Caenorhabditis elegans: one gene and its partners. The protein of the gene in region 4 purifies or fractionates together with the protein of the main gene of each other region. This does not show direct contact. Each region holds a gene or a part of one and is shown on either strand. Other genes may lie near its edges.

Region 1 (4,635 bases), on a different chromosome or scaffold from region 4:
TCATGCTGACTGAAAACGTGTCAATTGGAAAATGATGGGTCAGGAATCCTGCCTATCTTGATAAACCGGGTGGTGGTGTCATTGATTTATAAGGGTACGCGTGGAAGAACGCGGATAATGATGATGAAATGTAGACAGAGAATGATTCATTATCATATCTCTATTGATATCATATTAAAATAATGTTGCCACGTGGCACTATACTTACCTTACTTGTTTTTGCTCAAGCTTTACAAAAGTGAGCCCGGAAACAAAAAAAAGTGAAACAAAAATCGGGTGTTTTTTTCAGAAAATTTGAATTTCCCACTAAAAATTGTCTTTCTCACAAAGTTTGAATTTTCCGCCAAAAATATTTTTATCAGAAATTTGAATTTCGTGCCAAATTTTTACCTCAGAAAATTTAAGTTTTTCTGCCGAAAATTGTTCTCAAAAATTTTTTCCCGCTGAAAATTATTTTTCAAAAAATTTGAATTTCCCGCCAAAAAAATTTCTTTAAAATTTGAACTTCCCGCAAATTTGAAGAACGTTGAACAGTTAGTCCGTGTGATTTGATCTACTCGATCTCATTGATAAGATCATATACCAAAATACTATACATCTATATTCCGACTACAAACTCCCATGACACCTCACCATTCTTCTCACCCCTCCCCTCAAGCATCTTCCGATCTTCAAAGAGTTTCGTCGCCAAATTAGGGTCTCCACAGCAGCAGCATCTTTCAACGAAACGATGCCGACCCACGTGCGTTATCAGTTTCTTTTGACCACATTGCATCACTATTTGTGGTCTCCTCAATGTCACGTGTCCAACTTCCCCCGCCCCCAGCCCGCCCCTTTCGACGTCGACTCATTTCAGTTTGTCGACGACGACGAAATTCGTGACGATCCGAATTTTGCGTGAGGGTGCTATAAAAGTCGGCACTTGCATTATGTGCAGTAACACAGTGCCACTATAGTCTACTAGCACTCAGATGTTGTTTACAGTTTTTTCTTCTTCTTTCTCTCTTTCATTTTGGCGAGTTGTATCTCGGTTCATATTGTAGATATTTATAAATTTTAAACTACAAAGCTTTGTCAAATGAATTTTTTCATATGCTACATAGTTTTAAAGCTTTTATGTTACATTTGTTACTATACAGTACTATTTGTAAACTATATTTACCTAGTTTTAAAATATTTCCAAAAAAATTTTATTTCGATATTGTTTTTAGACAACCCTTATGCCACCCCAATTTTCAAGACATACAATGCCGGTTAAGGGATTTTCCAGAAAGAGTTTAAATTTCAAAACGTTTACTAACAAGATGTGGTGTATTTTTTCCGTTCATTAAGCGGCAGACGACTTGCGGGCCAATTTTTTTAACATTAAATCTGCAATTATCTGTAACTCAAGTTGATGTTTTTATATAGAACATTTGAACAAAAATTGAATTGCCGGAATGGAAATTTTCGGCAAACCGGCAATTTGACAGAATTTAGAACTTCCGTCAAAACAGCAAATTGCTAATTTGCCGCAAAAATGGTAATTACGGAATATTTTCGGCAAATTGTGGCTGTGCACATTTTTTTTTTGGAAATTTTAGATTATCAATTTTATCATTTTTAAATCGGCAAAGATTATCAATTTAATTCTGCATAATTGTACGTATCCTATGAATGCTCCTACATCTATTTTAAAAAGCAAAAAATTTCCATGAAAAGATTTCGAAAAAACGGGCAAAAAATTTCCAAAAAGGCTTAGTTTCCGTCTTATAAAACATCCCTTTAAAAACTTCAGGCAAATTGTTATTCGGCAATTTGTCAAAAATCAAAGTTTCCGGCAAGTCCACAAACCGACAATTTGCCGAATTTTTTCGAAAAAAAAATTTGCCGAACTGCAATTGCTGCCCACCCCCCTGGACTTTTTTCTTCCTTTTTTATCCTTAAACTCTATAAATTCCAGAAAACTCAAAACTTCAATCAAAATGACTACATTCGACAAAGGAGCAAAACCAGATATCGGCACTTTTGTTGCATTCGACCATGTTAGATTTGTAGTCGGAAATGCTAAACAAGCTGCCTACTGGTATTGTGCAAACTTTGGCTTTGAGCCATTTGCCTATAAGGGGCTCGAGACAGGATCTAGAATTACTGCTCAACACGCTATTCGACAAGACAAAATCGTGTTCATTTTCGAGTCAGCATTGTTGCCTGATAATTCAGAACTCGGAAATCACCTTGTTCAACATGGAGATGGAGTTAAGGATGTGTGCTTTGAGGTTGAGGATCTTGATTCGATTATTGCACACGCAAAAGCTGCAGGAGCAACTATTGTGCATGATATTACTGAAGAGTCAGATGCTGATGGATCCATTCGATATGCTACGCTTAGAACGGTAAGAGACTTAAAAATAAAAATATCTTCAAAAATTCCGAAGTTGTTAAATTGCACTGAAGATTGACCAGGAAAATTTGGTGGAATTAAAAAATTTTTGAGAAAAAATTTTGACGAGAAATGCAAATTTCTAATAATCCAAACAATGAAATATTATTTTTAGTATGGAGAAACCGACCACACCTTGCTGGAACGTAAAAATTATCGTGGAGCATTCCTGCCCGGCTTCAAGGCTCATCCAATGCCAGCCACATTCTTCAAGACTCTTCCACGCGTTGGATTGAACTTCCTCGATCATTGTGTCGGTAATCAGCCAGACTTGCAAATGGACTCAGCTGTTCAGTGGTACGAGAAGGTGCTGAAATTCCATCGATTCTGGTCTGTTGATGATTCCATGATTCATACCGAGTACTCGGCTCTTCGTTCCATTGTTGTAACGAATTTCGAGGAGACTATTAAGGTTAGTTAATATAAAGAGATCGATGGAGTGCGGCTGTCCTGTGAGATGTCGGCTGCTAGTTTTTATTGTAAAGAAACAGCAGCCGACAAATCGCGGGTTTTAAAAAGACGCACGACCTTTTTTAATTCAAAAAATTATAGCAAGATTTCTTGTGGAAAATACATATTAGTAATTTTCAACAAAAAAAAATCAAGATATCGATTTGGTAAATACGGTGTCCTATGAGATGTCGGTTGCTAGTTAGTCTTTATAATCAATAGAAAAATAACAGCAGCCGACATATCGCGGGTTTTAATTTTTTTTTCTTGTGGAACAATTGTGTACTCTACGTGGGAAATGAATAATTGTAATTTTCGTGTAGTCCTCCAGGGCATTTTGAATATGGAATACTGAGTATCTAAACATTTTCAACATCTATTTCAGAAACCATTTTTTAATTTGAATACGACGAATGTTTTAAATATTCGATTTTTGGGAAAATAATTGAATTTTCAAATAATTGTGTTTTTTTTTCTGGCTCTCCAGAAAATTGACAAAATAATTTAAATTATTTTCTGAAAAACACTGAATAACATAGAAAATGCTTAAACTTTTAATACAAAAATTTTGCAGATGCCAATCAACGAGCCAGCCACATCGGACAAAAAGGCAATCTCCCAAATCCAGGAATACGTGGATTATTACGGAGGATCCGGTGTTCAACACATCGCACTCAACACATCCGACATCATTACTGCAATTGAAGCTCTTCGAGCCCGTGGCTGTGAATTCCTTTCCATTCCATCAAGCTACTACGATAACCTCAAGGAACGTCTCGCGGCTTCTTCAATGGTAGTTAAGGAGGATATGGATCGTCTTCAGAAGTTGCACATTTTGGTGGATTTCGATGAGAATGGGTATTTGCTCCAAATCTTCAGTAAGCCATGCCAGGACCGTCCGACACTATTCTTGGAGATTATTCAGCGACAGAATCATGAAGGATTCGGAGCCGGTAACTTTAAGGCTCTTTTCGAGTCTATTGAATTGGAACAGACAAAGAGAGGCAACTTGTTCTATGATAATGTTAAGGATGGAAATACTAAGTAACTTATATTTTTTTTATTTTGCAACGACACTTCGTTGCCAAGACCCAAAGTGAATTCCATGTGCCATGAGATTGTATTATAGTTCCCCCTAACAAAGATACCCATTCCCACAACGGTTTCCTGTTTTTTCTATTGATTCTTGTTGCATTTATATTGAGAGAATAAAGATTTTATGAAAGAATTGTTGAGTCTTAATATCAAAACAAATGTGGAACCCGTGGGTCGTCGGCCGCTGCTTTTTAACACATGCGGCGAGGTGACGCCATGAGGCAGGCGCAGGCACCGTTACGGCGACCTCATGAGAGCCCTAAATTTTGCATATAAATGGTCGGCTTTAGTCAATCTCAATTTGTGCACTAAAACTTATGACTGAAAATCCACTTTTTCTGCTTGAACTTAGCGGATATGAAACTTTTTTTATTTGGTTTTTTTTACATTCTGAATGAACACAAAATTTGCAACAGAATGGCTACGGGGATGTTTGAAAAAGTTAGTTTGAAGCCAGATATTAATTTTTAAAAATTGGAAACGTCTTTCCTGATAATTCAAAATACTCATCGAACCATTTAACAATCTCAAACTCTGCCACGTGTTTATTGTTCTCGACAAAGAAATGGAAGGGGAAAAGGGGGTTCTGAGGAATGGTCTGGGGAATGGGAAAGGGCAAATAATATAGAGAAAAAAAACGGAAAGTGTCGTACCCAAATATGTGCACA
Region 2 (6,123 bases), on a different chromosome or scaffold from region 4:
ATCAGAGGGAAAAACCGAAAATTCGAAAAATTCCAAGACTCCATATCAAACGAGTTGATAGAAGAAGTCGGTGGGAAAATATTCGAACGAAAAGTAGGGGAAAATGATGGAAAAATAATATGTTTACTTTTCGCCTCTGCGCCATTTTCCATCAAAAAATGGCTTTGCTGAACCATTAAATGGCAGGAGAGAGAGCAGGGGGAGAAAAGAGAGCAGCAGCAAACAGAAACCCGAGAATTCAAGAGTCTCTAGGTTCCCAATTTCATTTTGTGAGAAGAGTTCAGCAGAAGAAATACATGATCAGCTGGTGGTGCTAATTAGAAGGACGGGGTACTCTCTCTCTGTGAGGTGTCACTTTTAGTTGGAAATTTCCAACAAAAAAACTGACAAGGGAAAGGACAAACTTCTATCAAAATTCAGTGACATTTGATTTATATGAAAATCGAGTTATTTTCTAGTTTAAAAAAATTGGGAGAACGCTCCAAATTCAACTTTCAGACAATTTTTGAGCGTTCTCCCTATTGTTTTAACTAGAAGAAACGGCAATTTTCAAATGAATCCTATGTTTTTTCTATAATCTATCACTGAATTCTAATGAAAAATATTGTAGAATTTCTGGCCGGCAATTGCCAAAAACCGAGTTTTATGGGTTGGGCACACTGTAATTGGCCTGTAATTTGGGTGAGAATTTCACAATTTTTTGTTGATGCACCGGAAGGAGAATGATTCACACTTTACTGATGGACTGTACATCTGATCATCACTTGGAGAGACCGAAATGTTCACTTTTTTTGTGTTTTTTGTTCGATTGCACCATGTGTTTTCCAATAAAAATTAGTGTAAAAATATGGAAAAATCAAGTAATTTTCTATATTTTGACACTAATTTTTAGTCTAACAACATGGTGCAATCGACCAATTTCATCAATTTTCCACGTTTCTCCCCCACCAGATACGCCGTTCAATCGATTTCCCATAGCCCTCTCAAATGACCTTAACCTAGTCTCCGTTTCTTCTATATCAATATTCGAAATCTCTGATTCCCGTGGAAAAATCTTTATCTATCTATCTTCTCCTAGATGTATACATGTTTCTGTATGGTCAAGTCCTCCACTTTTTGTTGGATTTTTGGGATTTGAACAGCTTTTTGCTTTGAATTTTTTGTCTTGTAGGCTAAAAAATCTTGAAAATTTATAAAATTGAAATACCATTTTTGATAGTTAATTGAAATAAGTCAAAAAAAAATATTTTTTCCGAAATTTTTACCCAAAAGCTTTGCCAAACGTTTTATTGTGCTATTTTTCAAAATTTTAGCCTTCAAAACGAAATTTTTTCAAACTAATACTAGTGAAAAAGGAGAATTTTGCAATTTTTGTTGTCGAAATCCCGCATTTTATTACTCATTTGCGAAATTTTGCGCTAAAACTACGGTACCTGGTTTCGACACGACAATTGTTAAATACAAACGGATATGCGCCTTTAAAGAGTAGTGTAGTTTTCAACTTTTGTTGTTGCGGATTTTTTCAAAATCGATTTTTCATTGTTTTTTTCTTTGAAAATATATATCAAAAATTATGAAAAATCGATTTAAAAATAATACCACAGCAACGAAAGTTTAGAAAATACAGTACTTTTTAAAGGCGCACACTCGTCTGTAGCTTACAAAAAAAATTGTCGTTTCGAGACCGGGTACCGTATTTCTTGCGCGACGAAATTACTCGATAATTCTCAACTGAATTCCAGGATGGTCTATACCCCGAAAAACGTGGTTATCACCGGCGGATGTGGCTTCATCGGTTCGAACTTTGTCAACTACATTCACGATGCTTGGCCGACGTGTAATTTTGTGAACATCGACAAGCTCATTCTGAACAGTGACACTCAGAATGTGGCAGAGTCGGTGAGAAATTCCCCACGGTACAAGTTGGTACTCACTGATATCAAGAATGAGGCGGCGATTCTCAACGTTTTTGAGCAGAATGAGGTATGGATTGGAGAGCTTCTTCTAAATGAGACCTGTGCTCATTTGAAAGAGCACATTTTGGATAGGTCACTATAAAAAATTTAGCAAGCACTTTGAACTAGAAAAATGTCTCCAGATGTGGATTTTTGCCAGCTTTTGATGATTTTCAGAGTTTAGAGGTGGACAAACATTCTGAAAGCTTTTTGGAATTTTTAAGAAATTTCCAAAAAGTATTCAGAACGTTTACCTACCTCTAAACAGCCAAAAAATCATCGAAAGCTGGCAAAAATCCACAGTTGGAGAAATTTTTTTTCTAGTTCAAGGTGCTCCCCAGCTCCTAAATTTTTTGTAGTTACCAATCTAAACGATCCTATTTCATATGACACAATGACCATCTTTAAATGCTAAAATTCAGATCGATACCGTAATCCATTTCGCCGCTGACTGTACTTCTACTCGGTGCTACAATGAGACCGCTGAAGCCGTTCAGAACAATGTTCTATCGTTCATCCAATTCTTGGAAACTGTTAGAACCTACGGAAAGATCAAACGATTCGTTCACATCAGTACAGACGAGGTTTACGGGGACTCTGATCTCTCGGAGAATGAACAAGGAAAAGTGGAATTCTCTCGACTTGTTCCAGGAAATCCGTATGCTGCCACTAAAATCGCCGGAGAGGCCTACGTCCGTGCCTACCAAACTCAGTACAACCTTCCAATTGTGACTGCCCGGATGAACAATATCTATGGGCCAAACCAGTGGGATGTCAAGGTGGTTCCAAGATTTATTGAGATTGCAAAGGTCCGTGGGGAATACACAATTCAAGGAAGCGGCAAGCAACTTCGCTCTTGGCTTTTTGTGGACGATGCTAGTGCAGGATTGAAGGCAGTTTGTGAGAAAGGAGAACTCCACGAGATTTACAATTTGGGGACTTATTACGAGAAAAATGTTGCTGATCTAGCGAAAACGATTCAAGAAGAAGTTGATCTACAACTCGGAAGAGCCCACGAGCCACCAAAATACAAATCGATTCCCGATCGTCCGTACAATGATCTTCGCTATTTGATAAGTATCGAGAAGGCGAAAAATGATCTCGGCTGGGAGCCAACGACCTCGTTTGATGATGGAATGCGTCACACTGTTGCGTCGGCACTTAAGGAACATAAACATGTGAAGATGCACGTGGCAATCTATGGAGGAAAGGGATATGTTGGTCAGGAGTTGCAGCACGTGCTCAATGATAGACACATTCCATACGTGTTGGCAACGAAAAAAGTCGGATTTGATAGTGATGAAGAGGTAGGAGGAGAGGATGGAAAAATGTGGTTTTGCTGAATTGAAAATTTCCGGCAAATCGGCAAAACTGAACATTTCCGGCAAAACGGCAAATTGTCAAAATTGAAAATTTCCGGCAAATCCGCAATATGCCGAAATTGGAAAACGCCGGCAAAACGCAAAAGCCAAAATTGAAAACTTCCGGCAAAATGGCAAGTTGCCAAATTTGAAAATTTCCGGCAAGACGGCAATATGCCAAAATTAAAAAATTCCGGCAAAACGGCAAATTGCCAAAATTTAAAAAATCCGGCAGAACGGCAAACTTCCGGGAAAACGGCAAATTGCCAAATATGGAAATTTCCGGGAAAACGGCAAATTGCCAAAATTAAAAAATTCCGGCAAATCGGCAAAATGGCAAATTAAAAAATTCCGGGAAAACGGCAATTTTTTTTTCGAGCGTTAAACTACCATAAAATGGAAAATATTAAACTTTTCCAGGTTGAAAGAGAACTTGCCCTTCTTGGAGTGACCCACGTGATCTGCGTGACTGGAAGAACCCATGGGCCCGGCTGCAATACTATTGAATACCTCGAGGGTAGAGCTGATAAGGTTTTCATTAACGTCAGGGATAATATGTATAGGTAGGTGGTCGAGAAAACTGATAGTAGGCACCTGTGCCGGTAATGAAAAGTACCGGCAAATCGGCAAACCGGCAATTTGCTGAGAATGCAAATTCCCGGCAAATCGGCAATTTGCTGGAATCGAAAATTACCGGCAAATTCGCTTTTTTCCAGCGCAACAATTTTGGCGCACATGTGTCGAAAATTGGGGCTGCACTATACGTACATTGGCACTGGTTACATGTTTGCTTATGATAAGGAACACCCGATTGGAGGCGCTGAGTTCAAAGAGGAAGGTTTGTGGGAAAAATATAATTTTTATAGTTTTAAAGGAGAATGCCGCAATTGAAAATTTCTGGCAAATCGGCACATTGCCGGAATTGAAAACTTCTGGCAAACCGTCAATTTGCCGGAATCGAAAATTACCGGCAAATCGGCAAATTGCCGGAATTTAAAATTACCGGCTAATCGGCAAATTGCCGGAATCGAAAACTTCTGGCAAATCGTCAAATTGTCGGAGTTAAAACTTCTGGCAAATCGGCAAATTGCCGGAATTGAAAATTTCTGGCAAATCGGTGAATCGACAAACCGGCAATTTGCCGGAATCGAAAATTTCTGGCAAATCGTCAAACTGTCGGAATTGAAAATTTCTGGCAAATTGGCATATTGCCGAAAATGTTCGGCAAATTGTGGTTTTGAACTTTTTTTTTGGAAATTTCAAAATTTCCAGTTCAATCGGCAAAATTGTACGCATACTAGGAATGTTCCTACATCTATTTTGAAATTTTTGAAAAAAAAATTCCGGCAAATTGGCAAACCGGAAATTTGCAGAGGATCAAAATTTCCGGCAAATCGGCAAACTGCCGGAATTGAAAATATCTGGCAAATCGCCAAACCGGAAATTTGCCGGAAATTTTTCAAATTCCGGCAAATCGGCAATATGCCGGAATCGAAAATTTCCTGCAGATCGGCAAACTGGCAAATTGGCAAACCGGCAATTGCCGCCAAACCCCTGATTACGACCAAATTTCTGTCATTCCCAGCAATTTTTGACTCTCCTCCACCAAAAATCTTTGCGGAAAAATGTTGCTTTCAGACGAGCCGACATTCTTTGGTTCCGCTTATTCTGTTGTCAAAGGATTCACCGACAGACAAATGAACTATTTCAATCAAAATGTGAGTTGAAAAAGTGAAAAAGTGTTAGATAAGAATTATTTCATAAATTCTTTTTTTTTTTTGAAGGGCTGGGAAAACCTCAATGTACGAATAACGCTTCCACTCAGTTTGGACTTGGAACAACCACGAAACTTGTTATCAAAAATCATCAAATACAAGGAATTATTTGATATTCCAGTGTCACTGACCATCCTTCCAGATTGTATGAATGCAATGTGCAATTTGATGGAACAACGAAGCGGTGGAACTCTGAACTTGGTCAATCCGGAGCCAATTAGTCTTTACGAAGTTGTGAAGATTTATAAGGAGATTGTCGACGAGACTGTCAATCCTACATCAATTGGAGTGGAAACTGAACGTGCTCAACATCTTCTGGCAACCAAGGGAAATTGCGCATTGGACACTGAAAAACTGCAGTCCTTGGCGCCGGTTTTGTCGGCGAAACAAAGTCTTATTAAGCACTTCAGCGAAATGACTAGTGCTGCTAAATAATATAATTTATAACAATTTTTTTGGAATGTTTTTTTTAAATTTAACTAATGAACGATTTAAAGGTGGAGAAAAATGCTTATTTTAAGCTGAAATATTCAAAATTTGCTAATTTTCGTTTTTATTTGATTATCATCCTTATATAAATATTTCGGTAATTTTCGAAATTTATTGCGTGTTTTTTCCGTCGATCGAGCAAAATTGAACTTGAATCAGCGAATAAACGCGTAAAAACTGCTTAAATATGGATTAAAAAGTGATAATTGAATAAAAATTGAGATTTTAAATAGCTGAAAAAGAATAAAGCCTGAGGCGTCTAGAGGAAAACACGAGGAAAAAACAAGGAAAAACCGAGCAAAATCGAGATGAAAGGAATCGAAAAAGAAATCGGCGCTAAATTTCAAGAGGAAAACACAAAAAAAACACAAAAATATTGTTTGTTTTGGACTAACAGGTGCAAATAGAAAAAAAAACGAAGAAAAATAAATAAAACCAAGAAAAAAGTGGTGTAGATTTACGGCGCGATTGCCTAGAATCCGACACGCTGCGTACTCCGCTCGGAGAAGGTCTCGCAGGGAAGAGACGACGCGGGGGAGATTT
Region 3 (5,229 bases), on a different chromosome or scaffold from region 4:
TTTTAGGCCAAAATTTGAATAAAAAATTGTCAAAAAAAATTTGCCGCGAAGATCATTATTTATATATTAAAAAATATTATGAATTGATACTGGTATAGGGTTAGTATGGGGATATGGTCAGTGTACTGTAGTAGTACTGTAGGGGTACTGTATGAGTACTGTAGGATTACTGTAGTTTTGGAAAAATTGACTTTTTGTCTTTTGAAGAGATATTGGTTTGAGGTTAGTAGGGGGTATAGCCGGGGTACTGTAGTAGTACTGTAGGGGGTGCTGTAGGAGTACTGTAGTTTAAGAAAAAATTTAGTTTTTTTTTTTCAAATTCAAATTTAATGGGAAAATTTTTTGGTGGGAATTAAAATCTTCTGTGATAAAATTTTGGCTGAAATTCAAATTTTCTGAGAAAAAAAACAACTTTTTTAGAAAAATCTGGAAACTTCTAGAATTTTCTAAAAATTGAATTATAATTTTTCAGACCAAACTGGCGACTAGAGTGGCGACTAGACTGAAAATTTTTCAGAGCGACTTTTTTGCAGCTCAAAGCTGTGCTCCCACTTGGTTTCAGTCCGTCAATACGGTTTGATCTACAAAAAATGCGGGAATTTTTTTGCCCAAAAAAATGTGACGTCACTCTTAACCATGCAAAATCAGTTGAGAACTCTGCGTCTCTTCTCCCGCATTTTTTGTAGATCTACGTAGATCAAACCGAAATGGGACACTCTGCCACTGATTTTTTTTGCACCAGGGGCCTATTTAGAATGGGGTTTTTTTTCAAACGAATTAGGTTTTATTTAGAAGTCTGGAACTTAGTTAAAATATATTTTATTTGGCCCTTGTAAGTTTAAGTTTTTCAGAATTTTCAGAACTTTTTGAAAGAATTTTGGCGCGCGAAACTTGAATGCTGTGGTTTTTCATGCTACGTGGCTGCAAAACTTCTATTGTCGCAGATAGAGTATACAATCAATGTCCTGGATCTATCTCGATTTCATTCGCATGTCTCTCTGCGGCTCTCATCTACCAATACTCTCTCACTTCTATCTGTTCGTTGCGATCTCTGCGCTGCCGTCCTTGACCGCGATATGTCATACAGAAACTGTATTCATTCTCGACTTTCTATTTTTTTTTGTTTTGGAGAATTTATGTTCATCTTAAAATTAATTTGGTTTTTGAACATATTGAGGAAACGGTTTTTTGAAAAATAATTTGCTTTTTTTAAAAATTTTTTTCCCAAAACACATTTTAAAAAATTAATTTTAAAAAATTTCTTTGACAAGCGACACGCGGTTCTGGCTTCCCTCATAAATTGAAATGGAAGAATTTGCCGAACTAGGCCAGGCCATATCCGGGGTAGATTTACGGCGCGTTGCGTGTCGCGTCGCGGCTTGATTTCAGTTGTAAAACTAAATGTATTCGTTCGTGTGGAGTGCACGACTTTCCCAGTCCGGCAGGCAATTGTCAATGGAGCGGGAAAAATTTAATGAGGAAGGCCAGAACCCCGTGAAGCGACACTCCGTTGCTAGGCGTTGCAGATTTTTTGTTAAACCTTCGAAATTTCAGTGAAAAATGACCGTTTTGATTACCGGCGGGATTTCAAAAATATCTACTCAACTTGCGGAGGCGGTGCTAAAAAACGGAAGAAATGTGGTTCTTCTGCACAATAATGAGGCGGTAAGTGGTGGCCTACAAAATTTTCGAAAATTAATTTTTAATTATCGAGTAGTATAGGATTTTCCAGCTGGCCGAGAAATCCTTGTAATGGCCTTAAAAGTTTAACGTTCCTATTCCGGCAATTGGTAATTTCGGCAAATTTGCCCAAATTTGTCCAAATTGCCGGAATTGCCGGAATTGCATTTTTAGGCTCCTAAATCTACAAAAAGTATGAAATTTTTATTTCCGGCAATTCTGGCGATTGCAGGTTCTCAAATTTTTCAGCAATCGGCAATTTTGGCAATTGCCGGTTTTTTGAATTTTCGGCAATTACCGAAATTGCCGAACAGCGAAAATGGTTCCCATTGAAAATGCTAGAGTGGCCTAGAAATTCTCAGGTGGCCGAGAAATTTCATGATGGCCTAATTATTTCAAATTTCTCTTCCAGATTCCAACAAATCTGATCAATAATCCATCGCTCACACTTATCAATTTATCATCAATCAACGAGGAAGCAATCAAAAATCTAATCGAAAATTACAAAATCCAAACAATTTTCGACGCATCTCTCACCACAACTGATGTGCTCTTGGAGCCAATTCAAGGAGCTAAGAAATTGATTCTGGTAAGGTTTTAGTAAACATGCTCTATTGGCAAACATTGGGTGTACTCCACGTGAAAATAGAGAAATTTCGAATTTCGTAAAGTCAGAAATTAAAAAAAAAATCCAGAAAACTCCTGGGAAGTCAGAAATTATCAGAAAATTTGGAATATTTTTTTGAAAAATAAAATAAAAATTCCAGAAGTCCACGTGGTGTCAGGCTGTCCCATCACGGTTTGATCTACAATAAATGCGGGATTTTTCCCCCAAAAATATGTGACGTCAGCACGTTCTAAACCATCTGCGTCTCTTCTCCCGCATTTTTTGTAGATCTACGTAGATCAAGCCAAAATGAGACACTCTGACACCACCTGAAAGTCCGAAATTTCTAGAAAATGTTGAATGCTTTAAAAAAAATCAGAAAATTCCAGAGGTTTCTTTAAAAAAAAGGTTGAGAAAAATTGAAAAATTTATATCTTTTCTAAAATTCTAAAAAAAATACAAAAAAATATTTTAAAAATAAATCAACATTTCCAAAAATCTTTGAACAATTTAGAAAATTCACGAAATTGCAGAAATTTTCAGAAATTTCAAATTTTTTTGAAAAATTTCCGTAAAAGCACGCGCGCTCAGTTGACAAACCCCTAGAATTAAAAAAAAATCAATATTTTTTTCAGGGAATCACGTCAATCCTCGATGCAATCCGTAAATCCGCATCCCCACCATCTCTGGTTCTCATTAGTGGTGACGAGGTGTACGGTAGGGCGAAGAATCGTGTCGAGACCCAACCTCTAGAGCCGGTCACATTCATCGGCTCAGCTCAAATGTCCGTTGAAGCAATGGCTCACAGCTATGCTGTCAGTTATCGTATTCCAATGGTCATCGGAAGGGTATCCGATGATTTATCGATTTCTGACGCGACACGTGGATTATTGGCAATTGAAAAGTTGGCACAAAGCCAAAAACCAGCGGAGGTCTACAATATTTCGGCTTCTTCAGCTGAAAAAATTCAGAAAGAAACGAATTGGAGCCCGTCTGGCTCTGTAAAGGAACAGGGACCCATCGAAGAAGTTTTTAAGCCAATTTTCTTAGTTTTCGGAGCTAATTCGGAACTGAAAACTCAATTTTTGGAGCTGCTAAAGCTGGAGGGACTGGTTTCCAAGGTTTGATCTCAAATTTTTGTATTACGGTAGCCACAAAAAAACACCATACTTTACGACAATTTGCAGAAAATATCTAAAAATTACGTCTTTTGTATTACGGTAGCCTCAAAAAAAAAAACACCATACTTTACGACAATTTGCTGCTCCAGGGGTAAAACTAAGCGGGAAATTCAAAAAAAGTGTCTAAAATTCGTTTCTAAATTTTTAAAACTCTCAAAAAGTCAAAACTTAACTAATTTCCAGGAATCCACAATCACAAATCTGCAAGAAGCCACTGATAAATCGGTTATCGATGAGATTAACACAATCAATCCATCCCATTTGGTTTATTTCGGAAATGAAACCGGTAAGTGACTTGGTGGCTGAAGACAGTGGCCGCAAAAAGTTTTTAGGCCATGAAATTATATTTTTTGGTCGGAAATGCTTTTCTTTTTACGCTAAAAAAATCAAAAATGCCAAAAAACAATTTTTTTTGGACTTAAAATTTGTCTCAAAATTCAATTTCACGAATCACGGGTTCTGGCCTTTCTCATTGAATTTTTCGCGCTCCATTGACAATCGCCCGCCGGAAAACGTGTGGGAAAGTCGTATACTCCACACGGACAAACACATTTAGTTTTACAACTAAAATCAAGCCGCGACGCGACACGAAACGCGCCGTAAATCTACCCCAGATATGGCCGAGCCAAAATGGCCTAGTTCGGCAAAAACTCTTCCATTTCAATTTATGAGGGAAGCCAGTGGCCGCAAAAAGTTTTTAGGCCACGAAAGAATCTTTTTGGTCGAAATTTATGTCAATTTATGCTTTAAAAAAATTCAAAAATGTCAAAAAAAAAATTTTTTTTGGACTTAAAATTTGTCTCAAAATTCAATCAAAGCTTTTTTCGCTAAAATATTTTTTCACCGAGAAAAAAATTCTGGGCCAAAAAAAAGCTTTTTATTTCAAATTCCAGACTCATTCGAAGGCGACTGCTTCACTCTCCGTACCAATATGGCGACTAATCTCTATTTTCCATGGCTTCTCGCAAGTATTGCCGAAAAGTTCTCCCTACACTTCACCCATTTTGGAAATACTTCTATGAGCCAAGAGTCTTCAGCTCTTGCCGTTAAAGGATACACTGGGAAAATGTTGGAATATTTCGAAAAAACGCTCATAATTGGACAGAAAATCGATAAAAACGTGCTGGAATCGATTAAGGCATGCAAGACTGGAGGACTTAATAATAATATTTAATTATTGAATTTTTGCAAATTATTTTTGAACTTAAAGCATTCCTTTTTCTGCGATTTTTTCAATCAATAAATTTTGAAATTAGTGTTGTACTGGCAAATTGGCAAAATGCCGGAATTGAAAATTTCAGGCAAATCGGCAAACCGGCAATTTGCCGAAATTGGAAATTTCTGGCAAATCGGCAACCCCGCAATTTGCCAGAATTGAAAATTTCCGGAAAATCGGCAAATCGGCAAACCAGCAATTTGCCGGAATTTAAAATTTTCAGCAAATCGGCAAACCGGCAATTTGCCGGAATTGAAAATTTCCGGAAAATCGACAAACCGGCAGATTGCCGGAATTTAAAATTTCCGGCAAATCGGCAAACCGGTGAATAGCCGCAATTTGAAATTTCCGGCAAATCGGCAAAACTGGCAAATTGCCGTAATTTAAAATTTCTGGCAAATTACCAGAATTGAAAATTTACGGCAAATTAACGGAATTGAAAATTTCTGCCAAATCGGCAAACCGGCAATTTACCGGAAATGAAAATTTCCGGCAAATCGACAACCCGGCAAATTGCCGAAAATGACAATTTCCGGCAAATCGGC
Region 4 (4,248 bases):
TCTCCTTCGTCGATCTCGATCTCGATCCGAGTCCCGATGCCGATCGTCGCGACGGCGGTGTGAATCTTCTCTTTTTCTGAAATTCTAATTTTGGATGGTTTACTTCTGAGGGGCCGATGGTGCCATCAGGATTTTTTACTAGGCATGTTTCATGTGAAAAAATTCAGGAACGGTGAGATATGAATTTTAAGCGGCGAAATTTCAGAACCGAGCTTGCGGTGAGTTTTTGAAGATGCTCAGAGCAGTGGTTTCGTGGGGCTCACGAAGCTTCCCACAAGCTGTTCTGGAATTTATATTTAACCGCTTCACATCATGGTCCTCCAAATGAAACATGTTTCGTTCAAAAGTCCGGTGCATACCTGCTGCTGCTGGAGCGGTAGTAGTCGTCTGTGTCCGAGCTTGACGACCGATCTCTTCCCATCTTAACTTTGAAATTAAATTGAGCCGTTCGAGAAATGGAAAATATTGTCGTGACAATAGTACACGTGTTCAACAAAATCAATTATCAGAAAAAAACAACTCGTTTTAATTTAAAAAAAAGAAAAGAAAATACAACTCTAATGAGCGAATAAAAAACAGTAACAAAGAAGTAGACTATGGCAAACGATGTGATAAAATTAAAAACTAAAAAAAAAAAAACAAAAGATACATTTTTAATGATGAATTCCGTTCCCGTTTTGAACACCGTTTGGTTCCTCGTGTAAAGTATATGATCGGCGATAAAGCTTGTCCATGTTATCAAGGAAATAAGTGTTGGGAAACAATGAAGTTTCGGATGGAGATTTTGGAATCTCTGAAAAACAAAATGACATTAAAAACCAATCACTATTAGAATTACTCACCTTTTGATCGTAGGAAAACTTCTCTTTTTTGTAATGTTTCTGTAAACTCTTCTGGAGTAAACTGAATTCGGTCATCGAGCCTTTTAATCGCCCTTATTGCGACTTGACGAATTTTATCAAGATTAGATGTCTGCCTAACTCTTCCTGGGAAAATTGCTGACGCTAGACCACTTCCATAGGCGAAGAATAAAATGCTTTTCTCCCCGGTGACGCTGAAAAGTAATTTTAAAAATTAGCTCTAAAAATCGGTATATTCTTCATCATACCAATCATCTGCTGCCAAGTATGCTAAAAGTTGAGCAAAGAGTGATGGAGTATACATATTTCCGATTCGCCTGTTGAAAACAAGATATGGATCTGTTTTTTCCTTCCAAACTTGAGCAGACAATTCGATCATTTTTGCAAGTCCAGCGCGATCGTTTTCATCGAGTTTATGATCGACACCATTTCCATTTCTGAATAAAATAAACATTTGAAAATTTTTCTAAACTAATCAACCTACAATTGCTTGTGACGAAGTTGCGAGTCAGTATAGTTCATCACAGCCAGGCCTTTTTGAACCATTTTCGTGAACGGTGAGTGAAGAAACACTCCGTCAAATGAGTTCAGCCCGTCGATACCCGTTGTATGGCGATTAACTTTTGATATGAAATATGTGTATGTCATTCTGACTGCTTCCAAATATGAGCTCAATGATAATGATCCATCGACAACGGGGTATTCACTCGGAATCGGCGCTGGAATTTAATTTTTTAAAAGTAAATAGAGAAATTAATAGCTTACTAATTGGCTTAAAGAAATCCCACGTGTTTTTCATGTGACACGCTGAAAACTGCCGATCAATCGGAATAGAAGCATCTGGACAAATAAGAAAAGCAATCGCTCCTGCACCGCCTGTACATCTCGCTGGACCTTCTTCATATATTGCAATATCCGCGACTACTACAATTGCGTTTTTCTTATCAAGCGGATGATTCACTGTGACCCAATCGATAGCGTGCAGCAGTGCCTGAAAATATAATTGAAGATTCTATTTTGAGAGACAAAAAACTCACTTGTGCGCCTCCAAAGCAGGCATTTTTGATGTCGACTCCTTCAATATCCGAATTTCCAGGAAATAAGTCCATTAAAGCTGTCTTCACACTTTTGCTCTTGTCGATCATTGTTTCGGTACCTACAACCAAACAGCCAATCGAATCAGTCGAGATCTAAACACACTGAAACTGAGGAAACTAAGTACTTTGATAGCGAATATTACTTTGTAAGTTTCAATAAGTTTCCTTGTGACTGTAAGGGAGATGGATACGATGTCCTCGTTGTCCGAGCAGAATCCCATTTGCTGTTGCCCCAGTCCAATTGTGTATTTTCCGCTGGATACATTGTTAAACTGCAATTTAGGAATCAATATTGAAGAAATAATGGTATTAATACCTTTTCTAAATCATTTTGATCGACAAAGTTCTGGGGAAAATACAACTCAATTGCTCCAATTCCAACATCCGTCACTGGTGTATATGACAATTGACCCAAGCTCATGCCTGCAATAAACTCTTTTTTAAATGTGAATTGCAAAAAATCACAAAAAACGATGATTTATCGACGAAAAGTGTTCATTATGCAAATTTGCCAAAAAAACAGTTTTGAAATATCAAAATGCCCGTAAATGTCGTCGAGGCAACGGCTCTTCCCTGCGAGACCCAAGGGAGGGGAAACCGATTTACGAGTCATTTGTACTCCTCTCGGACAAACTAAAATTGTATCATTTTCATTTTTCTGCAAAACTTCGTTTTCTTCATTTGATTTCATACAAAAAAACATTTTTCAGAAAAAGAAAAAATGCTGAAAATTCTAAAAGGACAAGAAGAGTCAATTAAGGGCTTGATTGTATGTGAAGAAGTGGATAACGCGTCGTCACTCCCATTTGTTCTTCATTTCCTTTCTACAGCTTCGACTTCAAGTCAAAAAGTCGCTATTGTTTCGACCAAATTGTCTGAAACAAATTACAAGTGAGTAAATCTTTATAAAATGGAAAGTAAAACTAATTGTTATAGACTGATTTGTTCGAAGGCTGGAGTTCGATGGAATCCCACTCAAATTAGTTTCTACGATTTCTTGAAACCATTCGAATTATTTGATATCACCTCTGAACAAATTATGGACGAGTTGTACAAGGTATTTCAGCATATATCTTTTTTCGAATAAAAATTGTTTAACTCAAAATTTTTCAGAAATTAATTGATTCCTCTGCGTCAGTTATTCTCTTCGATGATCTTTCAATATTGGAGCAATTTGGAGCAACTTCAGTTGAAACTACCATTTTCGTGCACAAAATCTACACACATTTAAAGACGTTATCACAAGAAAATGCGCTTCTTCTCGCTTCTTTCTCTATCCATTCGAATGCTGTGGATATTCTGAAACCCCGCTGCCACGTATTTGTCCAGATGTCGCCAGTAAGCCATGGTTTTGGAAAAGATGCATCAGCAAAGGTTCGTGAAATCTGCAATATTGTCGTTCATTAGTTATTGTTGAAATTCAGGCGGTGCTCACTATCAAATCACCATCTGCTCCAACATCAACGAAAGGAATTCTTCTTTCCGGTGAACGCACAATCAATGGATCATATATAACTGTGGATCAGTGATCTTGTTTTGTTACTGAATAAAAAAAATGATTCAAAAAAAGCTTTTCTTCGTTATCATAACAGAAAACAATGGGCACAGGCTTCAACATACAAATTTACACGTATTTCTAAAAGAGCCTGATTTTCGAACAAATAAGAGAATGCACTAGAAATTTTAAAGATTATCTATATTATGGAAGGTTGTCACATGTACTTCTGAAGTTCATTGTAAATCGCCAGAACCAATGCTGCACCAGTTCCACGAATCGCGTTCACCAGGGCTCCATGGAAAAATGCCTTGGGTCCTTCCTTCGTGTAAATGTACTGAAAATAAATAAATCTTTGTCCGAGAAGCAATTAAATGATCTTACTTTGATGCAGGATATTGTGTTATTGAACGGTAACGTCTTCTTTCCAGCACCCATCATCAGTCGTCTTCTTACAGTATCCAGTGGATAAGATGTCATTGCAGCGATCAGAGTGACGACTTGTCCAACAAGAAATGCTTCAGTAAATGTCATCTTTCCGTCACTATTCATATATGGAGCCGTTGTATCGAACAGACCATAATATGCTCCTCGATAGATAATCATGTATTGAAGCGATGGAATCAGACCTCTGAAAAATAAATAATTTGAAATCAGTTACACAAAAAAAATCAGTTACTTGTATAAGCCTGGAACTCCGTCACTTTTAATTATTTTCTTAGCACAATCGAACATTCCCGTGAATTCGCGATCCTGAAAACATTGAATCGTTAGAAAATTTAATTAATTAAAAAAA

Evidence for each region.
Region 1: the proteins of hmgs-1 (region 4) and hpd-1 fractionate together in Caenorhabditis elegans (co-fractionation; one large-scale study listed by BioGRID). This does not show direct contact.
Region 2: the proteins of hmgs-1 (region 4) and rml-4 fractionate together in Caenorhabditis elegans (co-fractionation; one large-scale study listed by BioGRID). This does not show direct contact.
Region 3: the proteins of hmgs-1 (region 4) and rml-5 fractionate together in Caenorhabditis elegans (co-fractionation; one large-scale study listed by BioGRID). This does not show direct contact.

Annotation. Positions count from the first base shown.
Region 1 is NC_003281.10:10,533,584-10,538,218, forward strand, and holds hpd-1 (4-hydroxyphenylpyruvate dioxygenase), read left to right. Parts: upstream 1-1,942; 5' UTR 1,943-1,964; coding exon 1,965-2,375; intron 2,376-2,537; coding exon 2,538-2,834; intron 2,835-3,446; coding exon 3,447-3,920; 3' UTR 3,921-4,100; downstream 4,101-4,635. UniProt on the Caenorhabditis elegans protein: Key enzyme in the degradation of tyrosine.
Region 2 is NC_003280.10:4,293,359-4,299,481, forward strand, and holds rml-4 (dTDP-D-glucose 4,6-dehydratase), read left to right. Parts: upstream 1-1,742; 5' UTR 1,743-1,743; coding exon 1,744-1,983; exon of another isoform or gene 1,984-2,238; intron 2,239-2,377; coding exon 2,378-3,262; intron 3,263-3,736; coding exon 3,737-3,879; intron 3,880-4,032; coding exon 4,033-4,154; intron 4,155-4,954; coding exon 4,955-5,034; intron 5,035-5,100; coding exon 5,101-5,526; 3' UTR 5,527-5,592; downstream 5,593-6,123.
Region 3 is NC_003279.8:1,791,700-1,796,928, forward strand, and holds rml-5 (NAD(P)-binding domain-containing protein), read left to right. Parts: upstream 1-1,554; 5' UTR 1,555-1,560; coding exon 1,561-1,665; intron 1,666-2,092; coding exon 2,093-2,269; intron 2,270-2,922; coding exon 2,923-3,408; intron 3,409-3,651; coding exon 3,652-3,754; intron 3,755-4,361; coding exon 4,362-4,642; 3' UTR 4,643-4,725; downstream 4,726-5,229.
Region 4 is NC_003283.11:5,682,210-5,686,457, forward strand, and holds hmgs-1 (Hydroxymethylglutaryl-CoA synthase), read right to left. Parts: upstream 2,381-4,248; 5' UTR 2,379-2,380; coding exon 2,274-2,378; intron 2,230-2,273; coding exon 2,101-2,229; intron 2,051-2,100; coding exon 1,898-2,050; intron 1,852-1,897; coding exon 1,626-1,851; intron 1,580-1,625; coding exon 1,345-1,579; intron 1,298-1,344; coding exon 1,109-1,297; intron 1,055-1,108; coding exon 843-1,054; intron 794-842; coding exon 654-793; 3' UTR 512-653; downstream 1-511. Other genes in the region: prp-39 (Pre-mRNA-processing factor 39), read right to left, coding at 1-76, 360-421; F25B4.4 (Elongator complex protein 6), read left to right, coding at 2,679-2,848, 2,894-3,014, 3,071-3,331, 3,382-3,486; F25B4.7 (ADP/ATP translocase), read right to left, coding at 3,670-3,789, 3,837-4,083, 4,132-4,205. UniProt on the Caenorhabditis elegans protein: This enzyme condenses acetyl-CoA with acetoacetyl-CoA to form HMG-CoA, which is the substrate for HMG-CoA reductase.